3 linked regions of the Elephas maximus indicus genome follow. The protein of the gene in region 3 purifies or fractionates together with the protein of the main gene of each other region. This does not show direct contact. Links are inferred from orthologs where the notes say so. Each region holds a gene or a part of one and is shown on either strand. Other genes may lie near its edges.

Region 1 (7,602 bases), on a different chromosome or scaffold from region 3:
ATTCCCTGACAAATAGCTCGCTTCCCCAATTGCCCAAATCTCAATCAACTTCCAACAAAGAGAATGAAAGGGAGCCTAAGAGGGGCAGCCTTTACTCACCTTAAAAGGATCCGAATTGCTAAGTTCCCCTGAAGAAGAAAAAAGAAGGGGAAGGGTGTTTGATGCAGAGGTACAGACAGAGAACCCTGAAAATAACCAGAGAGGAAGTGGGGGTGACAGAAGGATCATAGGCCCTCCCTCAATACCCTTGTTCCTCCAGGCCCCCACCTCCACCCCCCAGCAATGAGTCCCAGAAGATACAGCTTGAAGCACTCCCGTTTTTCTAGCCCACTTACCATTTTTGTGTTTTAAAGACTTGGATCTTCGAGGGGAATTGGGGTTCTGGAATGGGAGATACCATAGCTTTGGGGAAAGGGTAACGATAAGGGGAAGCCGAGAACCCAGGGAAGGAAAAAAGATTTGACAAAGAAACATCCTCAAATTCTTACTCTTCCTCCCCAGTAAGACCCACCTACCCATATTCCCTTCCGCTTCCCCGAGGCCTCTGCTGCCCTCCTGCCCACTACAGACACCCTCCTCCCGAACCCAGAAAGGCCCCCAGTGACCTTAGACTTGAGTCAAGATACCCTTGAGAGGACTCCCTGCCCAAAGGGGAGGGTATCTGTCCTTCGCCCCAATTTCCCTCATGTTTGCCCCAGCTCTCACCTTGTCTGATTTTCTCTTCTTGGCTGTACAGAACAAAATGATAAAGAATACCGTTATTTTCAGCTTCCAGTCTAAGACTACATAAAGAAAAGTGCAAAATTCACTCTTCCCCCCATTATTCAAGACAAAAACTTACTGCCGCCGTATACCCAATCACTGCCTGTCCACATCCCCCTCAAAGCCCACCAAGATTCCCCACATCCCCAAACACCTTTCTTCTCCGAGCCATAGGACCAGTCGTTGTCATTGATGTCATCGTTATCCTCTTGGTCACTCTCAGACTTGTTCATATTGTTGCTATTGGCAATCCTGCCAAGAGTGGGGAAGGGAAAAGGGTCAAGGCCCCTCTGCCCTCGCTTTCAGAGGTAGAGTAGAGCACGTAGGACCGAGTACAAACCACCCTCTGTAGCCTACAAATGCTGAGAACGACATCATAGTGCAGGCTGCACAAGGGGAGCAACTGTGGTTCGAGTAGGGAAAGTGACCCTCACCGGCGGTTGGCGATGCGGCTGCTGTTCCGACCCATTCCCAGGCACTTCTCCAGATGGGGAGCAAAGCGGGAGGCAGCAATGCTGCGGCTACAATTGGGGCAAACACACTCCTTGCTCTTCCACTGGTTGAAAACCTGTCCAAAGATGTCCAATCCCGGCTGGTCCACAATCTCTGGGGACAGGAGAGGCGTAGCGATCAGGGTGGGCAGGGTACCCTCCCCTCTTATCCCCACCCGTGGCCTTAAGGCCTCTTCAAATGCCCCGCCTCAGCTCCGGGGTGTACATCTAGTGCAGCAGCATCGGGAGAAGGAAGCTCCAGCACTCCCAGGGCAAAGCTAGACTGCTCTCCTTTGACCCGGAAGCTCACCAAAATCCTTCATGCTCTCAGGGTCCGTGTCATCCAGGAAGAAGTAGCCACACTTGACAGCCCGGTGTACCTCAAAGCAGAATCCCAAACAAGAATCCTCGACCAGGTCCGCATATATCTCCTGAGCGATGGCCTGGGTCCCAGGGGAGAACATCCACGGTCACAAGAGTCACAGCCCCCTGGACTAGTCGTGACTCTCACCAACTAAATCTCCTGCCACCTCACCCTGGCCAAAAATAATCCTTTCTTTGCCATTTTCCCCATCTTGACTTTGTGTTCTTTCTTCTTCCCGGATCCTTGGGCCTTTTCGGCTGGCTATTCCCTTTAAGAAACAAAGCTGACTACCCAAATTCCTCTTTGGTGTGGATGCCAGATATAGCGACGTAGAGACATCAAGAGAAAGAACTAGAGGCACACGTGGGGGAGCCCTCACCTCTAGTTTGCTGTTATCCAGGCCAGACAAAGACATTTCCTCCATTTTCATTTGTAAACTCTTGTGGAGACGGCACTCTGACTGTTCATAGCACAGCGGGCGGCAACACGGCTGTACACATGGGGGGGTGGGCGTTGGTATGAGTCCAAGGTACCTCTGAAGACTGCCACCTCCCCTCCCACCTAAGCCCATAGCTTAATCCTGGCACCAGGGTCTCTCCTACCCCAAGGCCCAGGCTCACTAATTCTGGATGGTCCTCCAGGGCTTGGAAACCCAAAGGTGGCCTAGTCCTTCCCAGGCCTGAGCTTAGGCTCTGGACTCTTTATCTACTGCCAATCAGATCTAGCTCTATAGGAGGCAGCAGCTCACCCCAGGTCCCCAAAACTCAAACCCCTCTTTGATACCCATGGTGCAATGCAGCAGGGGGAGGAGAAGGAACTCTAAGGCCTCAAAGCAAACCCACAGGGTGTGGCAAAGAACTGCACAGACTCCTAAATACACCCCCCCCTTCCCTAAAGGCTCTCCTCAGAGTCACCTCTGCTTTCAGCCGGGATGTCCACTTGGGGGGGTACTGCTACCAGAAGTAGAAATGGTCCTAGGCCCCTACAACCTTCACCCCACTCTGCCTTCTCTTAAAATAAGCCTACCACTAAGGGAGGGGAACAGAGCCCACAGAAGCCCAGTGCTAAGGGGCATTTCTAACCACTGTGAGCAAGAGGGGGGTGGCCCGGTGGGATGGCATGCCAGGAGTGGGCACTCCCCTTACCTGTTCTTCTTTTAGATAACCACCCTCCCTCCCTCAGGACCAGCCCGGAAGTCTCTCTAAGAGCCTCAAAGTCCAGGAACCCCCACCAAAGGATTCAGAAACAACGCCCCGAGTCCGGGGCCCCTCTCAGCGGAGGGTACGAGTTTGAGGAGCTGCTGGCCTAGAGTGGGGTGGGGATTGACAAATGAGCCAGGGGCACTGGGGAGGATAGGAGGCCGGGCCTCGGCTCTTCCCCCGTCCCTGCGGCACTGCTGCTGCATCATACCGACTGGGGGGAGGAGAGCCGAGCCGCCGGAGGCCAGCGCCGGTCCGGGACAGCCCGACCCCCAGAGAGTAGGCAGAGTGGGACGCGTCCCGGCCCCTCTCCTTCCCTGCCCGCCGACAGCTCCGGCCGGCCGGGGAGGGAGTCCGGGAGGGTGTCTCTATTGTCCGGGGGGCTGGGGCCTGGCTCCCTAACAAAGGCCCCGCGCCCCCTCCCCGGCTGGCCCTGCCCCGCCCAAGGGGGACCCAGACAGGGGGAAAGCAGGGGGCCCGGGCCGGGCCGGGAAGCCGGGCGTTTCCGCGTCGGCCCGGGGGGAGGGGAAGGGGCGCTGACCCAGACCTGGGGGGAGGGGGCCCAAGCCCCGCCTCGGGCCCCGCCCCCCGCAGGCCCCTCCCCCGTCCCCGTCTCCGTCCCGTACTCACCCCGCCCGGGGGGCCGCGCCGGGGCCCGGCGGCCTCTCAGGGCCGCGTCCTCCGGCGGCGGCGGCGGCGGCGGCTGCTCCGGAGCCCCATGTCCGTCGGTCCGTCCTCGCCTCTCCCCGGGGCCCAGGGCCCGGGGCCGGGGGGTCGGGCTGCCCCCCCGCCTCGCCGCCTCACCGGGCGGCCATGGCCCCTTCCCCTCCCTTCTCGTCCCGTCGCCGCCTCCTCCTCCTCACCTCACCCCGCCCGCGCGCAGTCCGCGCGCCGTCCGCGCGCCCCTCCCCCCGCCCCCCACTCCAGCCCGCCTCTCCCGGGCGGGGGGTGCGGCGCGAGCCCGGAGCGCGCGCGCGTGCCGCGACCGGAGGATGGATGGATGGAGCGAGCGAGAACGCGAACGTGCGCGCGCGCGCCCCTCTCCCCCTCCCTCCGCGCGGGCGCGAGGCCAAGCGCGAGCGCGCTCCAACCTCCTCCTCTTCCTCCTCCCGCCCCTCCTCAACACCCCGCCCCCGCCCTCCCTTCCTCTTCCTTCTTTCGCTTTCGCGCGCCCAGCGGCTGCTCGCGCCTGCTAGAAGGGCCCGAGCGCGTGCATCTGCCCCGCGGCCGCAGCTCGGCAGCATTTGCTCCAGGGGGCGGGGACCGGGCGGGGAGGAGGGGCGCCACGCCGCCGTCCAAAGTACCGGCGGACGGGGAGGGGGGCGGGGAGAGGGGCGGGGCCTTCGCTGGCCGTCCGGCCAATCGTCATGTCGCCTCGGCCCCGGCGGCCCAATAGGATGGCAGTGGGTGGAGCGGCGTTCAAGGTGAGGTGCGCGGTGCGCTGGAGGCGGAGACGTTGTGCCGTCCCGGCCGGCTCGGGGGCGGGGGCAGCGGGTGGCGTCGAAAGAGAGCGCCGGCTCCCAGCCGAGCCTGGGACGCCTTCCGGCCCAGGATTCCCCGCCCTTTCCTCGGGGCTCCCGGCCCTTTCCCCTCGCCGGCGTTTACCCTGAAGTGTGCAGCCACTACTCTGAAGGGGCCGAAGTTAAAGTGGAACGCATTAGGGCCTCAGGGCAGGAAACCCAGGAGACTGAAGCGGGGTCGTCCGAGCCTCCGCTCTCCGTTTCTGGGCAGCTCTACCCAGGCCTGCGACTCTACAAGCAGCCGAGATTAGGGTCCTCCGCGGAGGGCGGGGGCCGAGCTGAGCCCTTCTGAGCGGAGCGCCTCCCTGCCCTCATCCTAATTTAGATCCCACACCTGCTCGCCTTTCCTGCTCCCGGAACCCACGCTGGACCCCCACCTCTCACTCGGCCTGGCACTGGCCAGACCAATCCTCCCACCCAGTGCTACTCCCCTGGGCGTGTCCAAGTCCGCTGTCCGGGCACCTCACCGTCCCCCTTTACCTCCTGGACGAAAGGGCCCTTCACAGCTGCAGTAGATGTGTAGGGTGGCGCTTCCATCTCCGTTACTCTGTGTCTGGAGCCGGTGTCTGACAGTCCTCTCTCCTGGGGAGATAAGATTAAGGGAAGAAAGTTTTAAATCACATTATTTGGGAGCACCATTGGCTCTTTAGTCTTAAGCAAACATTTATTCCCAGATAGTTAAGACCAGGAGTCAGATCTGAATTTACATCTGCCTTTAGTGTGTGGACTTGGGCAGTTCTCTTTCTGTGCCAGACCTTCCTTCTTTGTCAGAGCATGTGATAATACCTAGTACCTATCTCATTAGTTTGTTGTGAGGACTAAAGTCGTACCTGTGAAATTCCTAGGTCAGTGTAAAATCTGTTGCGGTCTAGTGGATTCCGACTCACAGCCACCCTACAGGACAGAGTGGAACTGCCCCATAGGATTTCCAAGGAGCGGCTGACCCTTTGGTTAGCAGCCAAACTCTTAACCACCGTGCCACCAGGGCTCCGGCTCAGAGTAAGTGCTCAGTAAATCTTAACTTATTATCACCGTGCACCAGGTGCTGGGATACAAAGATGAAATAAGACAGTTGTATTTCCCAAGAAGTTCACAGCCTTGTAGGTAGACCTATAAAAAAAATAATTGCAAAATGGTGTGATAAGAAGAGGGGTACACACAGGGTACAGAAGTGGCCAGAAGAGATAGTGATTTAAGAGTAGTGTTGGTCAGGGAAGGCAAGATGATTGTGCTGGGGAGATGATTGAGCTGGCTCATTGAAACGGTTAAAGGCAAGCCAAGAAGGCTCTTGGGTACTATCAAGTCATTCCAACTTACAGCGACCCTGTAGGACAGAGTAGAGCTGCCCTATAGGGTTTCCAAGGCTGTAAATCTTTACAGGTACAGACCGCCACATCTTTCCCCCTGCAGAGCAGGTGGTGGTTTTGAACTGCTGACCTTTGAATTAGCAACTGAGTGCTCCACCACTGTACTACTAGGGCTCCTAAGAAGACACTAGGCATTCCAAATAGCAAGTTTCAAAAGTATGGATCAGGTCGGGGACTGGCTGGTACATTGGAGTGGGTGGGGGAGTAGCTGGAGATGAGCAGGCCAGATCACACAAGACTTGCGGTGTGCTGAGGAGTTTGTTGGTTTCAGCCCCATGGGCATTTGACCAGATTTGCACTTTAAGTGTATCACTCTGGCTGTGGTAATGGAGAATAGCTTAGAAGCAACAGGTTTTTGTGATTGAAGTATGTGGGGTAAAGAACAGGGAGGCCCTAAAACCTCTTTTAACCAGGATGGGAAATTCCAAGGAGTAGATACTAGGGTACAGAAGGATGACAAGTTCAATTTGGGTCATGTTGGGCTTACTGTGGGACCAGCTAGTGGAGAATCTCAAAAGGTGGTTGAACTTCGGTCTGGAGCAAAGGAGTGAAGTCAGGGCTTCTGGAACCTCCACAGGGTGGCCTCAACTTACCTTTCTAGTTGTGTTTCCCATCCTCCCCTTCAGGAATTCTCTACTCCAGTGATGTTCCTCTGTTTCTTAGTCCCTACATGTGCCCCCTATGTCCTATCCTAAGGATTATGCACCTCCCCAGGAAGCTTCCCTGATTCCTGCCTGTTTACCTAAATCCTTTCTCACATCCCCACTCATGGCCATTCTCACACCGAACTTCTCTATAACTGGACTATATTATTCATTCCGCCCTTGACCTGGGCTGCTCTGTGGTAGTGACCTTTTTGGGCATGTGTCTGGTCTCCACAGTTAGCATCAGACAATAAACACTAAAGACTGAGCCACACGCTGGCTCTGGTTGAGACTTTGAGGTTACAGCATGACCAAGAGAGACACATAGATCTCATCCTTGTGGAGCTTACGGCTCAGCAAAGCCTAACATGGAACAAACAAGCCTGAGTGTGAAGGCACCCGGGCTGCTAAGGAAACATGACATGGAGAACTTTTTAGTCAAGGGGATCAGGGAAGGTCCCACTGAAGTTGTTGTTTTGGTTCGGTGCTGTTGAGTCAGCAGCTACGTACCCTATGTACAATAGAACGAAACACTACCTGGTCCTGCACCATCCTCACGATCATTGCTGTGGTTAAGCCCATTCACTGTGTCAGTCCATCTCATTAAGAGTCTCTTTTTTGCTGACGCTCTACCAAGCGTGATGTCCTTCTCCAGGGACTGACCCTTCCTGATAACATGTGAAGAAGTAGAGCCCTGAATTAATCAGGCAGAGAGGTGATGAAGAATATTCCAGGCAAAGGGAACAGCATGTATGCTGGCTGTGGAAGAGAGTGTGTTGGGTCTGAGGCATGGAAGGCTGATATGGCTGGAGTTGGGGTAGAGAGGTCACTAGGGGCAGCAGATCTTCCAGGGACTTGTGGGCCATATTTATCCACTCCTTCAACAAATATTTCTTGGGTGACTACTGTATGCCAATTTTAGATGCTGGAATTACTGTTAACAAACAAGCTGATAAGGGAGATAGCCAATAAACAAATACATAAGCATTGAGATGTAGAAGGAGGTCGCTAGAGAAAGTTGTCAGGTAAGGCCTGTCTATACTGGTGACCTTTGAGCTGAGGCAAGGATGAGAAAACCAGCTATGTAGAGAGTCAGGAAAATGGCATTATGGGCAGAGATCAAGTGCAAAGGCCCTGTGGTAGGCATGTTTGAGGAACAGAAAAGTTATCACGCAGCTGGATCACTTGAGTGATAGGGAATATTGGAGTGGGAGAAAGGAGCAGGGGCCTGGCCTTGTAGGGTCATGGTAAGACT
Region 2 (8,079 bases), on a different chromosome or scaffold from region 3:
GTTTGCCTGCAGGCCTGAAAACACAGACCTGCTCATCTGTCCACAGGATATGGCAGAGTCAGAACCCACCCAAAACAGCAGCTGATGACTGACTCCAACAATGGGTGCCACACTTTAGGAGGTAGATCCATGGGTAGCAAGGTGACCCATTCAGGGTGCTACGCCCACTATTCCACTGGCAGTGCTCACTGGGGTCACTAATGACCTCCAGGTTGCTCAATCCAATGGCCACCCTGCTTGGCTTCTCAGCAGCATTCCTCCCACTGGTCCCCATGGCCTTTTGGAATAAAGAAGAAATCATTACCATGGCTCCCAAGGCCTGCAGGGGCTGCCGACTGCTCCTCCAACATGTCTCACCACTTTCCCTCTTGTGTCTGCATTCACACCAGTAGCCTCCTTTAGTTTCCACAGAACCATTGTGCGTTCTATTTCCTCTGCTTGAAACACTCTCCTCTGTGCCCTCCACCCCAATTCCTTTGTCTAGTGAGCTCCCGCCCACTCCTTCAGATGTCAGTTCAAACGTCACTTTCTCAGGAAGTCATCCCAGACCCCCGCTGTCGCTCCATTTGCCTTCAGAGCAGTCATCCCAGTTTGTAATGATAAATTGGCAAAACTTTTTTTTTTTTTTTTTGGCTTTAACAAAGAGAAGTTTATTCTTTCATAGTCCAATAGGCTAGAAGTCCGAATTCAGGGTGCCGGCTCTCTCTGTTGACTCTGAAGGAAGGTCCCTGTGATGCATCAGTCTTCCGTTGGTCTGGGAGCATCTCAGCACAGGAACCTCAGGTCCAAAGGACAAGCTCTGCTCCTGGCGCTACTTTCTCGGTGGTATGAGGTCCCCTTGTCTCTCTGTTCACTTTTCTCTTTTTTTTTTTTTAATAATTTTTATTGTGCTTTAAATGAAAGTTTACAAATCAAGTCAGTCTGTCACATATAAGCTTATATACACCTCACTACATACTCCCATTTACTCTCCCCCTAAGAAGTCAGCCCGCTCCCTTCTTCCAGTCTCTCCTTTCGTGACCGTTTTGGCGTAACTTTTAACAACTGCCTCCTCACTAGACTGTGAGCTGCATGCGGGCAAGGACAATGTCTTTGCTCACCTTTGCATCCCCAGCATCTAGCACAGGGTCGGTGCGTGATACACCCTCAATGAACACTTGCTACAAGAACGACTAAAGAACTGTTTGTTTTTTTTTTTTTTTTTTTTTGAGCCTGTACTATGCCTCAGGCACTAACATTAAGTGCTTTATATAGATTACCTATTCGATCCTAACCATGAGGTAGGTATTCTGTGGGTACTATGTCCATTTCGGAAGGAGCCCTGATGGCAGAGTGGTTAAGCACACAGCTGCTAACCAAAAGGTCGGCGGTTCGAACCCACCAGCCACTCCACAGGAGAAAGATGTAGCAGTCTGCTTCCGTAAAGATTTGTTGCCATTAGATGCCATCAAGTCAGTTCTGACTCAGGGTAACCCTATGTACAACAGAACAAAACACTGCCTGGTCCTGTGTCATCCTCCCAATCATTGCCACGTTGGAACCTGTTGCTGCAGCCTCTGTGTCAATCCATCTCACTGAGGGTCTTCCTCTTTTTCACTGGCCTTCTAGTTTACCAAGCATTATGCTCTTCTCCAGAGCCCGGCCCCTCCTGATATCATGTCCAAAGTATGTGAGACAAAGTCTCACCATCCTCGCTTCTAAGGAACATTCTGGCTGTACTTCTTCCAAGACAGATTTGTTAGTTCTTCTGGCAGTCCACAGTATATTCAATATTCTTCACCAACACCATAATTTAAATGCATCAATTCTTCTTTGATCTTCCTTATTCATTGTTCAACTTTTGTATCATATGAGGAGACTCAAAATACCATACTTGGGTCAGGCACACCTTACTCCTCAAAGTGACATCTTTGCATCTTAACACTTTGTAGAGGGCTTTTGGACCAGATTTGACCCATGCAATACATCATTTGATTTCTTGACTGCTGCGTCCATGGGTCCATGAAGATTATAGCCTCGGAAACCCTATAGGGCAGTTCTATTCTTTCCCATATGGCTGCTATGAATCGGAATGGACTTATTGCAAAGGATTTTATGTTCATTTCTATAGGAGCCCTGGTAGCGCAATGGTTAAGTGCTCGGCTGCTAACCGAAAAGTAGGTAGTTTGAGTCCACCCAGAGAAACCGTGGAAAAAATGTCTGGTGATCTACAACTGAAAAATCAGCCACTGGGAACACTGACGCACAGTTCTACTCTGACACACACAGGGTTGCCATGAGTCGGAATCGTATTTGAATGGACACCATGGGTGACTTTTTTTTTTTTAAGTATCCATTTCACAACCAAGGAAATCAAAGCTCAGAAAGATTAAATGACTCCTCCAAGACCATCTGGTGCGCGCTGAGTAAGTGGAGAGCAAGGGCTCAAACCCTTGTTCCTAATCATCACACTACACCATAACAGGAGTGGCTGGCGGTGTGGGGAACAGGGTGCCGATCTGCCGTCTTGGTGCTGGAGACCCATCACTTGGTGACCCTAAACCGCCAATGGATACTTGTTAAGCTTCAGTTCCCCCATCTGTAAAATGGGAGCATTAAGTCCTGCCCCCGCTAAAGCTGCAGAGGAAGTTACGTACTCACATTAAAACCAAACCCACTGCCCTCCAGTTGATTCCGACTCATTACGACTCTACAAGACAGAGTAAAACTGCCCCATAGGGTTTCCAAGGCTGTAATCTTGACGAGGAAACCCTGGTGGAGTAGTGGTTAAGAGCTATGGCTGCTAACCAAACGGTCGGCAGTTCAAATCCACCAGGCGTTCCTTGGAAACCATATGGGGCAGTTCTATTCCGTCCTACAGGGTTGCTATAAGTTGGAATCGACTTGACAGCAACGGGTTTGGTTTTTTGGTTTGGGTTTATCTTCACAAAGCAGGCTGCCACATCTTTCTCCAACAGAGCGGCTGAGGGGTCCTAGCGGCCAACCCTTTGGTTAGCAGGTTATGCTTAACCACTGGGCCACCAGGCCTCCTTCCTGCCCACATTAAACTACGACCCCACAAAGTGCAGGCTGTGACCAAGCCTCCTGCCCTCCGCAGGTTCGGCCACTAGCCACACTAGCGAGGGGGCGTGGGAGCTGACCTCAACGGGCCTTGCTCATCCCAGACCTAGAGGTGGCGGGGAAGGGGGCAGGAAGAGGGTCAGGAGCCACCGAACCTGGGTCACGTGGTGGGTGAAGCGGGCGGGCCCCAGGCGGAGCGGGCTCAAAGGCTGATGAGTGCGCACCCCGTGGCGAACGGGGAGCCCCTGGGCCGGGTTAGAGGCTGCTCACCTGAGGGCTCCGGCGCTGCGAAGGGGGTTACGACACGGCGGCTGCTCCCACTCACCCGGTTCTCCACACTAATTCCCTCTCTCCGTGTCCGGGCCCCGCCCTCCATGAGCACAACCAATCGGCGGGCACCGTGCGAAGTTCCCGCCCTCCAGGCGGCTTCTCGCCACGTGATTGGCCCCTGTGAGCGCGCCGTAAGGACCCAGGGCGCCGGGGTCACGTGACGGTGAAACGCCTAGCCCCTGAGCTACGGCACTTGCTAGTTGTGCAAGTGGCTGTATGCGCTTCGGCGTACATTTAATAAGCCTATTCTCCACGGAAGCATCACCATTTCCTGCTCCCGAGTTTCCTAGCACTTGCATTTTCGCGACTGCAGCGAAGCTTTGGGCTTTGGTGTCTGGCTTCGTTTCTTGCCCACCTCTCTAACATCACTTGCCACTTCCTATTCGTGAAAAGATGGATGAGGCTTGGGTAGGTGTTCTCTGCGGGAAGAAGGCGAACATCCCATGCCAGCACCAGACTCCGGAACTCTGCTTATTTGGCATCCTAACTCGTCCTCCCCACTCCTGTCCAATGAACCATGTATAAACCCTCACCTGCCTCTCAGAATTCCTTGACTGTTTTACACACACGTTAATCACTATCTTTCCCGAACTCTGACTACGACAGCAGCGATTGGGCAGTTCTTAATTGACAAGTATTAAATTTACTGAATAAAGGATGGTATTTAGAGTCAGACCGACCTGGGATCAAACCCTGACACTGACTTTGGGCAGGCTATCCAATCACTTTTTACACAGCTACAAAATGGGGTAATGATGCTGGGGTTGTTATGGATTAAATGTCTGGAAGCACCTGGCTGAGTTGCTGGTTGAGCTTTCCCTTCCTCACACATCACAAAGGAGACAGTGGATTCCTTTATGTTCACCCCAGATGGGGTCCTTTGCAGCGGGCTATTCATTATAGAAAGGAGCTTTCTTTAGGGGAGCATGAATGTCCACATCCTCTCCTTCCTCCACTCGAGGGCTAGACGCTGTTGCCCATACGAAAGAACTTCTGGGACCGGAGCAGGGACGGCCGGATGGATGTGGCTGGGATTGCCATGGCAACACCACTGAGGAGACTGTGACCCTGCTGAGTCTCATCCACAATGACATTTGGTGAGGGTTCAGTATTCTGTGCTTGAACACTAGAGTGCCTGCCCACCTGTGCATAAAGAGGAGGCAAAGGGGAAAGGGCCCTCCTCTAAGGCCGTGGGTCTGAGACCAGCTCAGCAGGCTCTGGGCTGTTGACAGATCTCCTCCCTGAGGTGTTATTGGTATGGACTGCCATTGGCAACCTTGGAGGCATGAAGCAATGGAGGGAGGAAGACAAACGCTGTGAAGCTGTGTACAAGCCGTCTGGGGCTCATTTGCCCCCAACATGAGTGAAGGCAGGGGCCAGAGAAGGTAGTAGTGAGACCCATTTGGCCACAAATGGGGGAAAGATGGCCACCATTCACCCGCTAGCCATTCATTGCCTGGCAAGAGTCAGACTGACTTTAGTTAAAAAAAAAAAAAAAAAAATCACTAACTCCGTTATTCACTAGCTGTGTGACATTAGGCATGTTAGTTCATGGAACCTTTGTGAAGATTCTATAAGGTAATTCTGTAAAGGCTTAGCATGATGCCAGGCACATACTACTGTTACTATTAGCCTTTGATCTCTTCAAGAGGCTGTAACTTTCAGATTCTCCTCTAGTACCAACCTAAAAAGATCAGAAGTCCTAGAGACCATCTGCAGCCCCATCTGCTCCCTTCCCCACTCTGTGCCAACCTTCTTGGTGCCACACCCCCAAATCCTCATGGTGCCTTTACACTCAGGCTCCATGACCCCCTCTCTGTCCATCAGTCTCTTCCTTCTAGGCCTGCTGTTACTTCCAGGTCACCCCCTACACAACTTATAAATGGGTGGCTCCATTTGAGAACTTGGGAAGAATTTTACCCTCAGTGACACACAACATAATTAGGGTCTAGGGAAAATCTCCAAACCCTGTACGATCAACTGGTACTACAGCAGAGTGGTGCCAACCACAACTGTAACATTGTTTCCTTTGGAAAATTCATTGCAAATCCAGCACTGAAATGTTCCTCTGTTACCCGAACTGGGAGCGAGGGATACAAAATGAAAGGGGTACCTATGAATCCGTAATTATCGCAATAAAATTTAAAATAGAAAATTTTACATAATAAAAAAATGAATGGACACGGAAAGAGAGAGTGGAGGGAAGGAGCGGGCTGTCTCATTAGGGGGAGAGTAATTGGGAGTATGTGGCAAGGTGTATAAAAGTTTTTGCGTGAGAGACTGACTTGATTTGTAAACTTTCACTTAAAGCACAATAAAAATTATAAAGAAAAAAATGAAAGAGAAGGCAATGACAACAGCATGTTTTGTGACACACTATAAAAAAAAAAATTTTTTTTTTTATAGAGGTATGAATGGGATGTTTAGGGAAGAGCCTCGGTCTGCCCAGGGGTGGTAAAGGGCAGGGGACAATAACTACGTTTGAGTACATATCGCCACATACCAGACACTGCTGCAGATGTTTTATATCCAGGTTTCTAAACCTCTGCATATTTGACATTTGCAGCCAGATAAGTCTTTACTGTGGGGGCGGGGGGGGCTGCCCTGTGCACTGTAGGATGTTTTCTAGCATCTCTGGCCTCTACCCACTAGAAGATATTAGCACCCTCCTCGAAGTTGTAACAACCAAAAATGTTTCTAGACACTGCCAAATGTGCCCCCTCCCCGGGGTGGGGAGGGCCAAAATCACCCTGGCTGAGAATCACTCTTTTATATGCATTTTATAATAATAATTAACAGCTGAGTGCCTATCATGTGCCAGGCTGTATGCTACCCACTTGCATATATGATCTGAGCCTCCCAGCAACCACCCAAAGGTGGTTTTATGGCTACTTTACAATCAGAAAACATACGGTAACCCAGCTAATCTGTTTCAGTCCAAATCCAATGCTTTCTACCACACAGCTCTGCTTCCCAAGGAAGTCAGGGAAAGCTGCACAACAAGAACAATTGAACTGAGATTTGAGAGATTAGCAGCTAGCAAGTTGGGCAAGGGCATTCCGAGGTGGACAAATAGCACTGCAAAGGCCTAGTGGGAGAAAGGGTGGGTGTGTTTGCCTAATCGTGCAGTCATTTCATGGATTTTTGTTGTTACTCATAACTAGAGTTGAGTAACTAGAGATAAGCCCTTTTACATCTTCAATTCAGTTTAGTATAGTGGAATTCACAAATGATCAACCAGCAAATAAAGAATTCTATCGTTTATGTACCCATCCTAGCTGTGTTAGAACCCCAAAATCTGTGTCATTATTCTTGTCACCTCTCTACCTGCCATCCCCTCTTCTCTCTTTCCCAGTTATACCCTTGGTATTTTTAAGGGTGGGGGGACACTCTGGAACAAGATTAGGACTCAGAATGACTCTAATAATGGTATCATTGACTGAAAGCCAACCCAACATTAGCATCTTGCTTTCAATGAGGTCAACTTCTGACCTTGGCAAATGGTCTAGTCAGATCCCTGGGTAGCTGAGGCTGGTTGAAGCATAAGGCCAAAGAAAAGGAGCTAAGGAGCATTTAGTCCCAGGGCCTTTCGAAAAGAGTGGTTGCTCCTACCAAAGAAGGGGATAACGCTTACATGAGAATGAAGGACCTTTTATGGTTCAAAAACAAAGTAAAAACTCTGGGAGTGGCAGCTAAGCCAGAAGTAGACCCAGATGTCCTCTGGTGACAAGGAACCTTCCTTGCTTTCCCCACAGCAGCCAGCCGCTCCTCTGGACAACACGGAAAGTGTGACAGTCACGCCTCCTAAATCAGTACCAAACAAGGTAGGAAGACCCTGTGCTCAGCTCACAAGTCCTGTAAAAACAGGAAAGGCACATCAGTGGGCCCCAAGCTTGGGGGGCCCCATCTGTGTACTTCCCATTCGAAGGGGCACACAGCATGAAAGCTGCTATGTCTGTGACTCAGGCATTAGCCCCATATCCTCCCCAGGCCCCACACCCCTTTTCAGGCAACAGCCCCGGCATGCAAGCTCAGGCACTTACCCAGGTAATCATCCATCAGGGAGCCAATAGCAAACTGCAAGAGGGGAGGTAAAATGGAAATGAAGCCAAGGAGAGCAAAAGCCCACCCCTACCTCCCAGCCCCAGGCCTTCTGCCCACCCATCATCCTCTCTTCCTGGCAGAAGAGCCCAGAAACCCCAGGCATTCTGGATGGTAAGAAATCAACAGCTCCCAGCTCTGCCCAGTACAGGCGGGGAGGCAGGCAAGAGACTCACTATGTCATTCTTGTCCACACGGGTCCCCACAATCTTCAGACGGATCTCATCATCCTGCTGAATCACAATGTCCTGGAGAGAGGGTAGAACAGTGTACTCCGGCCACCACCCCCAGGCCAATACCCTCCCTCAGGGTAGCTCCTTCTTGCCTCTCTTCTTTCACCGGCCTCTACCTACCCACTCACCTCATCCACTGTCTTGTAACACGGTGGGTTTGAGTTAGGATCAAACTCCATCTCTGATGGGATGGACTGAAAAGAAGGTCAGGCTGGGTCAGCAGTGTAAACAAAAGCTCCAATAGATAGTCATGAACAGATGTCTCTCCTCCTTAACCCCCCTCCACCCTCCACCAAGAGCCTAGACTTACATGTCGAGAGATGAAGCAGGACATGGGTCCAATTTCTGTGAAGAG
Region 3 (8,022 bases):
ACTACAGGATGGAACAAAATGCTGCCCAGTCCTGCGCCATACCTGTGATCAGTTGTGGATTGGGCCATTGTGATCCATTGGGCTTTCAAAGGCTGATTTTTTCACGTATATTGTCCAAAAAAAAAAAAAAAAATTTTTTTTTTTTTTTATTGTCAGGCCTTTCTCCCTAGTGTGGAAGCTCTGCTGAAACTTCTTTAACATCACAGCAACACTCAAGCCTCCACTGACAGACAGGTGGAGACGGCGCACGAGGTACACTGGCTGGAACTGAACTCCGGCCTCCCACATGGAAGGTGAGATTTCTGCCACCAATGCCCCTAACTCTTTAGTTAAACCCTAACTAAACCAAACCCACTGCTGTCGAGTCGATTCCGACTCATAGCGACCCTACAGAGTCAATAAATTCCCCTTTTCTGCTTAGTCTAGTTTGGGTTAGTTTTTTATTACTAAGTAACTAAGAACCTTGACTAATAATAGGAACTTTCAATGGCAGGGCCTGTTCTATTCTTAGGGCTATTCTTAGGGACAAAATTACAGTTTATTCTTATGTCAAAGGTTGTATATATTAACTGCTAAACACCAGCCTAAAATTGTTCTCTGGCTCCAAGGTGACCATCTGTCTACTTACTAGTGGCCAAAGCTTCATATAAACAAATCCAAACATCCAGTACATAAACCAATCTAAAATTAATCCCACGAGGCTTGTGACAACCCAGAGCCCTTGTCCTGAGTCAAAGAGAAAGGAGGCACCTAAAACTCTACACTCAGATTTCACACCCTCAATCCAGTCACTAATAATGAGAATCTACATTCAACTGTTTAAAAAAAAAAAAGTTGAGAACAGAAAATACTTTTTTTTTTTTTTCAATACCTAGTACCTGCCATAGAGTCCTGGTGGTGCAGTGGTTAAGAGCTCAGCTGCTAACCAAAAGGTGGGCAGTCTGAATCCACCAGCTGCTCCTTGGAAACTCTGTGCAATAGGGTTGTTATGAGTTGGAATCAACAATGCGTTTTTCTGCTTTTAGTACCTGCCTTGCTTCTGCATTGGAGCTTACACGGAGTTTCTCATTTAAATCTTACTTCAGTCTTATAAGATAGGTAGCTATCAGCATGTAGAAAACTGAAGTTAGAAAGGCTAAATTATGCTAGGTAACTCAGCTAGGAAATACAGGCAGTTGAGTTGGGACTGGAATGCAAGACTGCAAGCTAAAAATCTATGCTCTTTCAACTAATTGCAAGTTATGTCCAAATTTCAGCACAGAGATCATGGAAGTAGAAGCACTGTGTCTCCTGTAAACTGTTATTGCGATTACACTGACAGATTACAGAAATTATCACCAGTAAGGTGGTGGTCACTGTGGCATCTGAAGAAAAAGAGGTAGGAAAATCAAGGTAATAATGACAGCTAATCCTTACTAAGCAGCCCTTGTGGCATAGGGGTTAAAGCGCTCGGTCAGCAGTTTGAACCCACCAGCCGCTCCTTGGGAGAAAGACGTGGAGGTCTGCTTTTGTAAAGATTTACAGCCTTGGAAACCTTATGGGGCAGTTCTACTCGGTCCTATAGGGTCACTATGAGTCGGAATAGACCCGATGGCAAAGGGTTTGGTTTAAGTGTTTTTATGTAAATTTTATGTAAATTATTCTACTTAATCCTCCCAACACTCCTATTAAATTAGTATTTGTAGAAACTTGAGTATTGGAGAAACTTTACAAAGGTCAAGCAACTAATAAACGGCAGAAGTGGGATTCAAACCCATTCTAGAACCACGCTCTAGAACTTGCACCTTATAATGACTACAAATCCTGAAGTGACATAACTTAAGTATTTTTTTCCAATGCAGGTGATTCATCAAACTTCTAACTAAATGAGATTTATTTTTAAAAGCTCTGTAAGAATCTTTACACATACATTTAAAAATCAGAAAAAAAAAAAAAAAAGCCTTTGCCTTATCACATGTCCCCACTTCTAGCTCCAGGAAGAGGGTCATAATAACCATGGACTCCAATGGACCTACCCACTGAGAACAGGGTGTCTAGTGGTTGAGCCAAGTATTCATCAAATGGACATTCTACTAACACTGCCCAGATATTGCTTCAGACCCTAGACAGCAGTTCTCCAACAATCCTACTAACCCTACCTACAAAAGCTGCACTGAACAGTTCCAGTCTTCCAACCCCCATCCCAAATAAGATTGTTGGAAAGGCCTTGTCTCTCCCACCAGACTTTCTCCTGAGCTTTTACAGGAGAGGAATGGATTTTTACTCATCTTTATATTCCAATACCCAGCCCAGTGCCTGGCACCTACTATGTCCTCAAAATGGATTGCTCAACTGAATAGAACCCTGGAAACCCCTTAGAACATTCTCTCAACTTTGGAATATGGCAACTGTTCTGGAGATGAGCTCTTCAAAAATCATCTCCCCCGTCTCAGGAAAATAGAAAAAAATTAATCATTACCAATACACTCTAAGGGGTTTCTCTATTTGCCACTTGTAGAGAAGAGGTACTTCCCCTCTTCACTCTTTCGGTAATTATTTATCAAGCACCTACTCTATGCCAGGCATGAGCGATATACAGTAGTGAATGAGACAAACACAGCAGACGAAAGAGGAGAGGTCGGAGAGAGGTGAGCCTAAGAGAATGTTCCAGAAGACAAATGAAGAAGGGGCAGTGGTCAACTGCATCAAAGAATGCTTAAGTATTGACAACTAACTTAACACAGAATTTGGCTAACTAGAGGTCATTGGTGGCTTTGATAAGAGCTATTTCAATGGAGTCAAAAACTCGTTGCCACTGAGTCCATTCCAACTCATTGCAACCCTGTAGGGCAGCAGATGGGGCGGGGGGTGGGGGGTGCCTGACTGGAGAGGTGCTAGTGAGTATACACCAAAACCTTTGCCTACAAAGGGGAGCAGGCAAATAAAATAACTGGACGTATCCGGAAGGTGGCTGAGGTTATTTTGTTATTAAGATGGGTACATTCTGAGAAAAAAAAATACTGCTCGAGTTCGGGGCCCATCCTCAATATTTCTCGCACCTGAGCTGAACACCCCACCTCCAACCACACTCCCACCCTCTGCCGGACGCCACCCAGCGTCCTCGCGAAGCTCCCAACCCGCCGTTTCCCACCCTCTTCCCGGGGTCGCCAGGGCGCAGGCGCAGACCCCAAGGCGAGCCGAGCGTGCCACCGCCCGGCCCCGCCCCTCCCTACCCAGGGCGCGTGCGCATCCCTCTCAGCAGCGCCTCGGCGGGGCCCGAGGGGAGACGCCAAGGGGGACCTCCGCCCTTTGCGGCTGCGATTCTCTGGAGGTCCCAGACCGCGACCCATCCCACCTACCGTGTCACTGACGAAACAAGCACGTCGCGCTGGAAATTGCGACAGCGGGAAACAGGCGCGGTCCTTGAACACCTCTTCAGGGTCCGCAGAAGATAACGCACTTGCGTTCGAAGATTAGCCGCACGTCAAGCCTCACACGCGCTTTTTTCTCTTTCATGAACCGAGGCGCAGCGGGAGGACCCCCGTGCGCTTGCGCGGTCCGGCCTTTTGTGACGTGCCGTGCTGTCCCTTGGGAAATGTAGTTTTTACTTTGACACACTATTTCCGATTCTTCAGCTGAATCTTAATAAACCAGGGTCCTTGTGTGTTTTCAGTGTCCTCTCTCAATTCCCAAAAACATCTATTTAAACACATATATATGTATGTATAAATGGGCATATTTTTAGACCCAGAAATCACACGGAATTCTCCCCAGGAAGATATTAAGGGTTTGGGCAAACAAACATTTAGCTACAAAGATTTTTATCAAAGGATATCATAGTGTCTTGTAATTTCTTATATAACCTCTACCAAAGTTTGATATGTATATTTGATTATTTGGTGGACTGGCCAGCTCCATGAGGTCGGGATCATTTGTCTTACCTATGTATTCCCAGTACCTAGCACAGTGCCTGGCACATAATAATAAAAAAAAAAATTTAGGACCTCAGTAAATACTTTTCTGTTCATTAGAGTATCTCAAACTTCAACTCTGCAGCCGTTTCAGCCCAAAACTTAACATATGATTTTCCTCCATCAAGCTTTCTTCCTGTAGTCCCTATCTCAATAAATGGCATCTAACCAGTCTCAGTTCTATATACTACATTTTATGAAGGTTGTACTAGCAGTGACTTTGCAAATTTTGTGTTTGTAAAGGTCTCAGGGGCTTTCTCTCCTAAAGATTAAATATTGACCCCCCCCCAGTTACTCATCAGGAGAAATTCGGGGCTCACAATTATACATTTTTTAATGTAACGTTAATTTCTAGCCCCCGGACTTGGCTAGTAACTGAAAGGATGACGGTTTGAATACACACAGCCGCATTGCGGAAGAAAGACCTGATCTCCTTCCGAAAAATCACAGCCTTTGAAAACTACTGAGCACAGTTCTGCTCTGAAACGCATGGGGTTGCTGTGAGTCAGAATTCACTTGATGGCAACTGATGTATCTTTAATCTCTAATTTTTCTATAATGAACATGTATTACTTGGATAATTAAAAAAAAAAACAGTGTTTTAGAGTGTTGCACACAGAAGGGATAGCTCTGTTCCGCCCCCCCCACCCCCGCCCCCCGCCCCGCTCCATCCAGATTTCTCAAAAGAATTATTTATCGTCGGTTTTCATTTCCTCACCTCCTACTGGGCACAATGACAGGAGCCAGCACCTGGGAGTGATCCTTGGCATCACCCTTTTCCTCCCCTCCCACATCTAATCTGTCACTAAGGGTCTGCAATTTAAAAATATCTGCTTACATTTGTTGAGCACTTACTATGTATCAGGCACTATTGAAAACGCTTTACAGGTATTCATTCCTGTAACACAATTCACCCACTTTTCACCTCTGCCACATTCACCCAATTTCATGCTGCCTCTGCCCTTGCCTGCATAACTGCAAAAGATTTTTATTTTTTAATCCAGGTACAGAGGTCGAGACACTCATATTTCTCACTTCATGGTGCACTGTCGTCATTGGGCTCTGCACGGCCCTCTCATTTTATGTTTTAATAACCTTCTATCCCTTCTCCACTCTTCCCTCCTCCCCCAATAGTGTACATGTGTATCCTTGTGAAACATGGGCATGGTTGAGTGTGCATGTATTTTTTTTTTTAATTGTACTTTAGATGAAGGTTTACAGAACAAACTAGCTTCTCATTAAACACGACACATACTGTTTTATGACATTGGTAAACAACCTCAGGATGTGTCAACAGTCTCCCTTCTTGACCTTGGGTTCCCTATTACCAACTTTCCTGTCCCCTCCTGCCTTCTAGTCCCTGCCCCTGAGCTAGTGTGCCCCTTTAGTCTCATTTTGTTCTATGGGGCTGTCCAATCTTTGGCTGAAGGGTGAACCTCAGGAATGACTTCCTTACTGAGCTGAAAGGGTGTCTAGGGGCCGTATTCTCAGGGTTCCTCCAGTCTCTGTCAGGCCAGCAAGTCTGCCCTTTCTTTTTGAGTTAAAATTTTGTTCTACATTTTTCTCCAGCTCTGTCCAGGACCATCTATTGTGATCCCTGTAAGAGCAGTCAGTGGTGGTGGCTGGGCACCATCTAGTTGTACTGGACTCAGACTGGTGGAGGCCGTGACAGATGTGGTCCATCAGTCCTTTAGACTAATCTTTCCCTTGTATTTTTAGTTTTCTTCATTCTTCCTTTCTTCCTTTAGTGTGCATGTATTTTTAATTTACCTAAATGGCATTGTGCTATAAACCTCATTCTAGTTCTTACTTTTTCCACTCAGCACAGTACTTTTAAGACCTGTTCTTGTTGTAGGTACACCTAACCTGTTACTTAGAACGACTGTGCAATATTCATAGTGGGCACCCATATTTTACTTATTCAGACCCGTGGCGATGGACCTCTGAATTGCACATCTAGCTCAATTGGCATAACATAGTTTATAAAGAAAATGTTCTACATCCTACTCTGGTGAGTAGTGTCTGAGGTCTTAAAATTTCTGGATGGCCATGTAAGATACATCTACTGGTCCCACCCTGTCTGGATCAAGCAAAAATGAAGAAAACCAAAGACAATGGAAAGATTAGTCCAAAGGACAAATGGGCCACAGCTACCACAGCCTCCACCAGACTGAGTCCAGCACAAGTAGATGGTGCCTGGCTACCACCGCCAACTACTCTGACAGAAATCACAATACAGTTTCTGGGACAGAGCAGGGGAAGAATGTAGAACAAAATTCACACTCACAAAAAAAGACCAGACTTACTGGTCTGACAGAGACTGGAGAAACCCCAAGATACCTTTTTAACTCAGTACTGAAGTCACTCGTGAAGTTCACTGTCATGGATTGAATTGTGTCCCCCTAAAATAAGTGTCAAGTGTCAATCTGGCTAGGCCATGATTCCCAGTACTGTGTGATTGTCCACAATTTTGGCATCTGATGTGATTTTTCTGTGTTGTAACTCCTACCTCTATGATGTTAATGGGGCAGGATTAGAGGCAGTTATGTTGATGAGGCAGGACTCAATCTACAAGATTAGGTTGTGTCTTAAATCAATCTCTTTTGAGATATAAAAGACAGAAGCAATCAGAGAGACAGGGAGACCTCATATCACCAAGAAAGTAGTACCAGGAGCAGAGTGCGTCCTTTGGACTGGGTCTCTGCATTAAGAAGCTACTAGACCAGGGGGAGATTGATGACAAGGATCTTCCTCTAGAGCGGAGTTGGAGCTGGTGCCCTGAAGCTGGTGCCCTGGAGCTGGTGCCCTGAATTCGGACTTCTAGTCTACTATTTTGTAAGAGAGTAAACTTCTGTTTGTTATAGCAGCCCTAGATAACTAAGACAATCACCCTTCAGCCAAAGATTAGACAGGCCTATAAAGCAAAGCAAACGATAACACACGCAGTTCAACCACGTATACAAAACTAAATGGGCACGCCAGCCCAAAAGCAAAGACAAGAAGGCAGGAAGGGACAGGAAACCTGAACGACTGGAAATGGGGAACCTGAGGTCAAGAGAGTGAGAGTGTTGACACATTGTGGGTTTGGCAACCAATGTCACAAAACAATATGTGTAATAATTGTTTAATGAGAAACTAATTTGCTCTGTAAACATTCGCCTAAAGCACAATTAAAAAAAAAGATTCCTTCCCCAATTAATACTGATAATAATAACTAACGTTTGTTGAACAGTTACAATGTTCTAGGCACAGTGTTAAGCCTTTATAAGAATTGGTCTTTTAATCCCCACAATACTCCCACAATGTAGGTACCATTATTAATCCCATTTTTAACAAAGGAAACTGAGAGACACAGAGAGGCTAAATAACTTATCGAAGCCTATGCAACTAACAAGTGGCAGAACCAAGCTTTGGACTCAGGCAGTAGGGCTCCAGATCCTACTGCCTTCACCGTAACTAAACCAGACCCAATCATTGCATTCTAGTGGACAAATAATAGAGAAGTAAACAAATAAAAACATACATTCGATTAGCAATGACTGAATGCTATGAAGAAAGTAAAATAAAATCAGGGTAGTGGGATAAAGAATAACTGTTGGGGGAGAGGGATACAAATAAAAACTGCAATGAGATATCACCTCACCCCTATTCGAATGGCAATGATTGAAAAAAAAGAGAAAACAAGTGTTGGCGAGGTTGTAGAAACTGGAACACTCATCCATTGTCGGTGGAAGTGTAGAATGGTGCCTCCACTGTGGAAAATGGTTCAAAAGTTGAACATAGAACTACCATATGACCCAGCAATCGCAGTCCTAGGTATGTACCCAGATGAATAAAGACAGGAGCGCAAACAGAAACCTGTACACCAATGTTCATTGCAACACTTTTAACAATAGCAAACTGGTGGAAACAGCTGAAAGAAATGCCCATTAACAGATGAATGGATAAACAAATGTCGTATATACATACAATGGAATATTATACAGCCATAAAGAGAAATGAAGCCTTGGTGCATGCCACAACACGGAGGAACCTTGAAAACACTGTGCTGAGCAAAGTAAGTCACAAAAGG

The links. The genes of interacting proteins can lie anywhere in the genome.
Region 1: the proteins of SGF29 (region 3) and ATXN7L3 purify together in Homo sapiens (affinity purification with mass spectrometry; 8 studies listed by BioGRID and IntAct, counting the BioPlex papers as one, with this or other methods). This does not show direct contact. The link is inferred for Elephas maximus indicus from reciprocal best matches to the Homo sapiens genes SGF29 and ATXN7L3.
Region 2: the proteins of SGF29 (region 3) and TAF6L purify together in Homo sapiens (affinity purification with mass spectrometry; 4 studies listed by BioGRID and IntAct, counting the BioPlex papers as one, with this or other methods). This does not show direct contact. The link is inferred for Elephas maximus indicus from reciprocal best matches to the Homo sapiens genes SGF29 and TAF6L.

The regions. Positions count from the first base shown.
Region 1 is NC_064837.1:50,721,824-50,729,425, forward strand, and holds the start of ATXN7L3 (ataxin-7-like protein 3), read right to left. Parts: upstream 3,418-7,602; 5' UTR 2,189-3,417; coding exon 1,997-2,188; intron 1,697-1,996; coding exon 1,564-1,696; intron 1,369-1,563; coding exon 1,197-1,368; intron 1,015-1,196; coding exon 917-1,014; intron 729-916; coding exon 706-728; intron 403-705; coding exon 336-402; intron 186-335; coding exon 100-185; intron 1-99. UniProt on the Homo sapiens protein: Component of the transcription regulatory histone acetylation (HAT) complex SAGA, a multiprotein complex that activates transcription by remodeling chromatin and mediating histone acetylation and deubiquitination.
Region 2 is NC_064825.1:125,925,055-125,933,133, reverse strand, and holds the start of TAF6L (TAF6-like RNA polymerase II p300/CBP-associated factor-associated factor 65 kDa subunit 6L), read right to left. Parts: upstream 3,418-8,079; 5' UTR 3,331-3,417; intron 1-3,330. Other genes in the region: POLR2G (DNA-directed RNA polymerase II subunit RPB7), read right to left, coding at 7,232-7,245, 7,434-7,467, 7,668-7,739, 7,853-7,918, 8,035-8,079. UniProt on the Homo sapiens protein: Functions as a component of the PCAF complex. The PCAF complex is capable of efficiently acetylating histones in a nucleosomal context. The PCAF complex could be considered as the human version of the yeast SAGA complex.
Region 3 is NC_064830.1:89,011,322-89,019,343, reverse strand, and holds the start of SGF29 (SAGA-associated factor 29), read right to left. Parts: upstream 3,518-8,022; 5' UTR 3,339-3,517; intron 1-3,338. UniProt on the Homo sapiens protein: Chromatin reader component of some histone acetyltransferase (HAT) SAGA-type complexes like the TFTC-HAT, ATAC or STAGA complexes.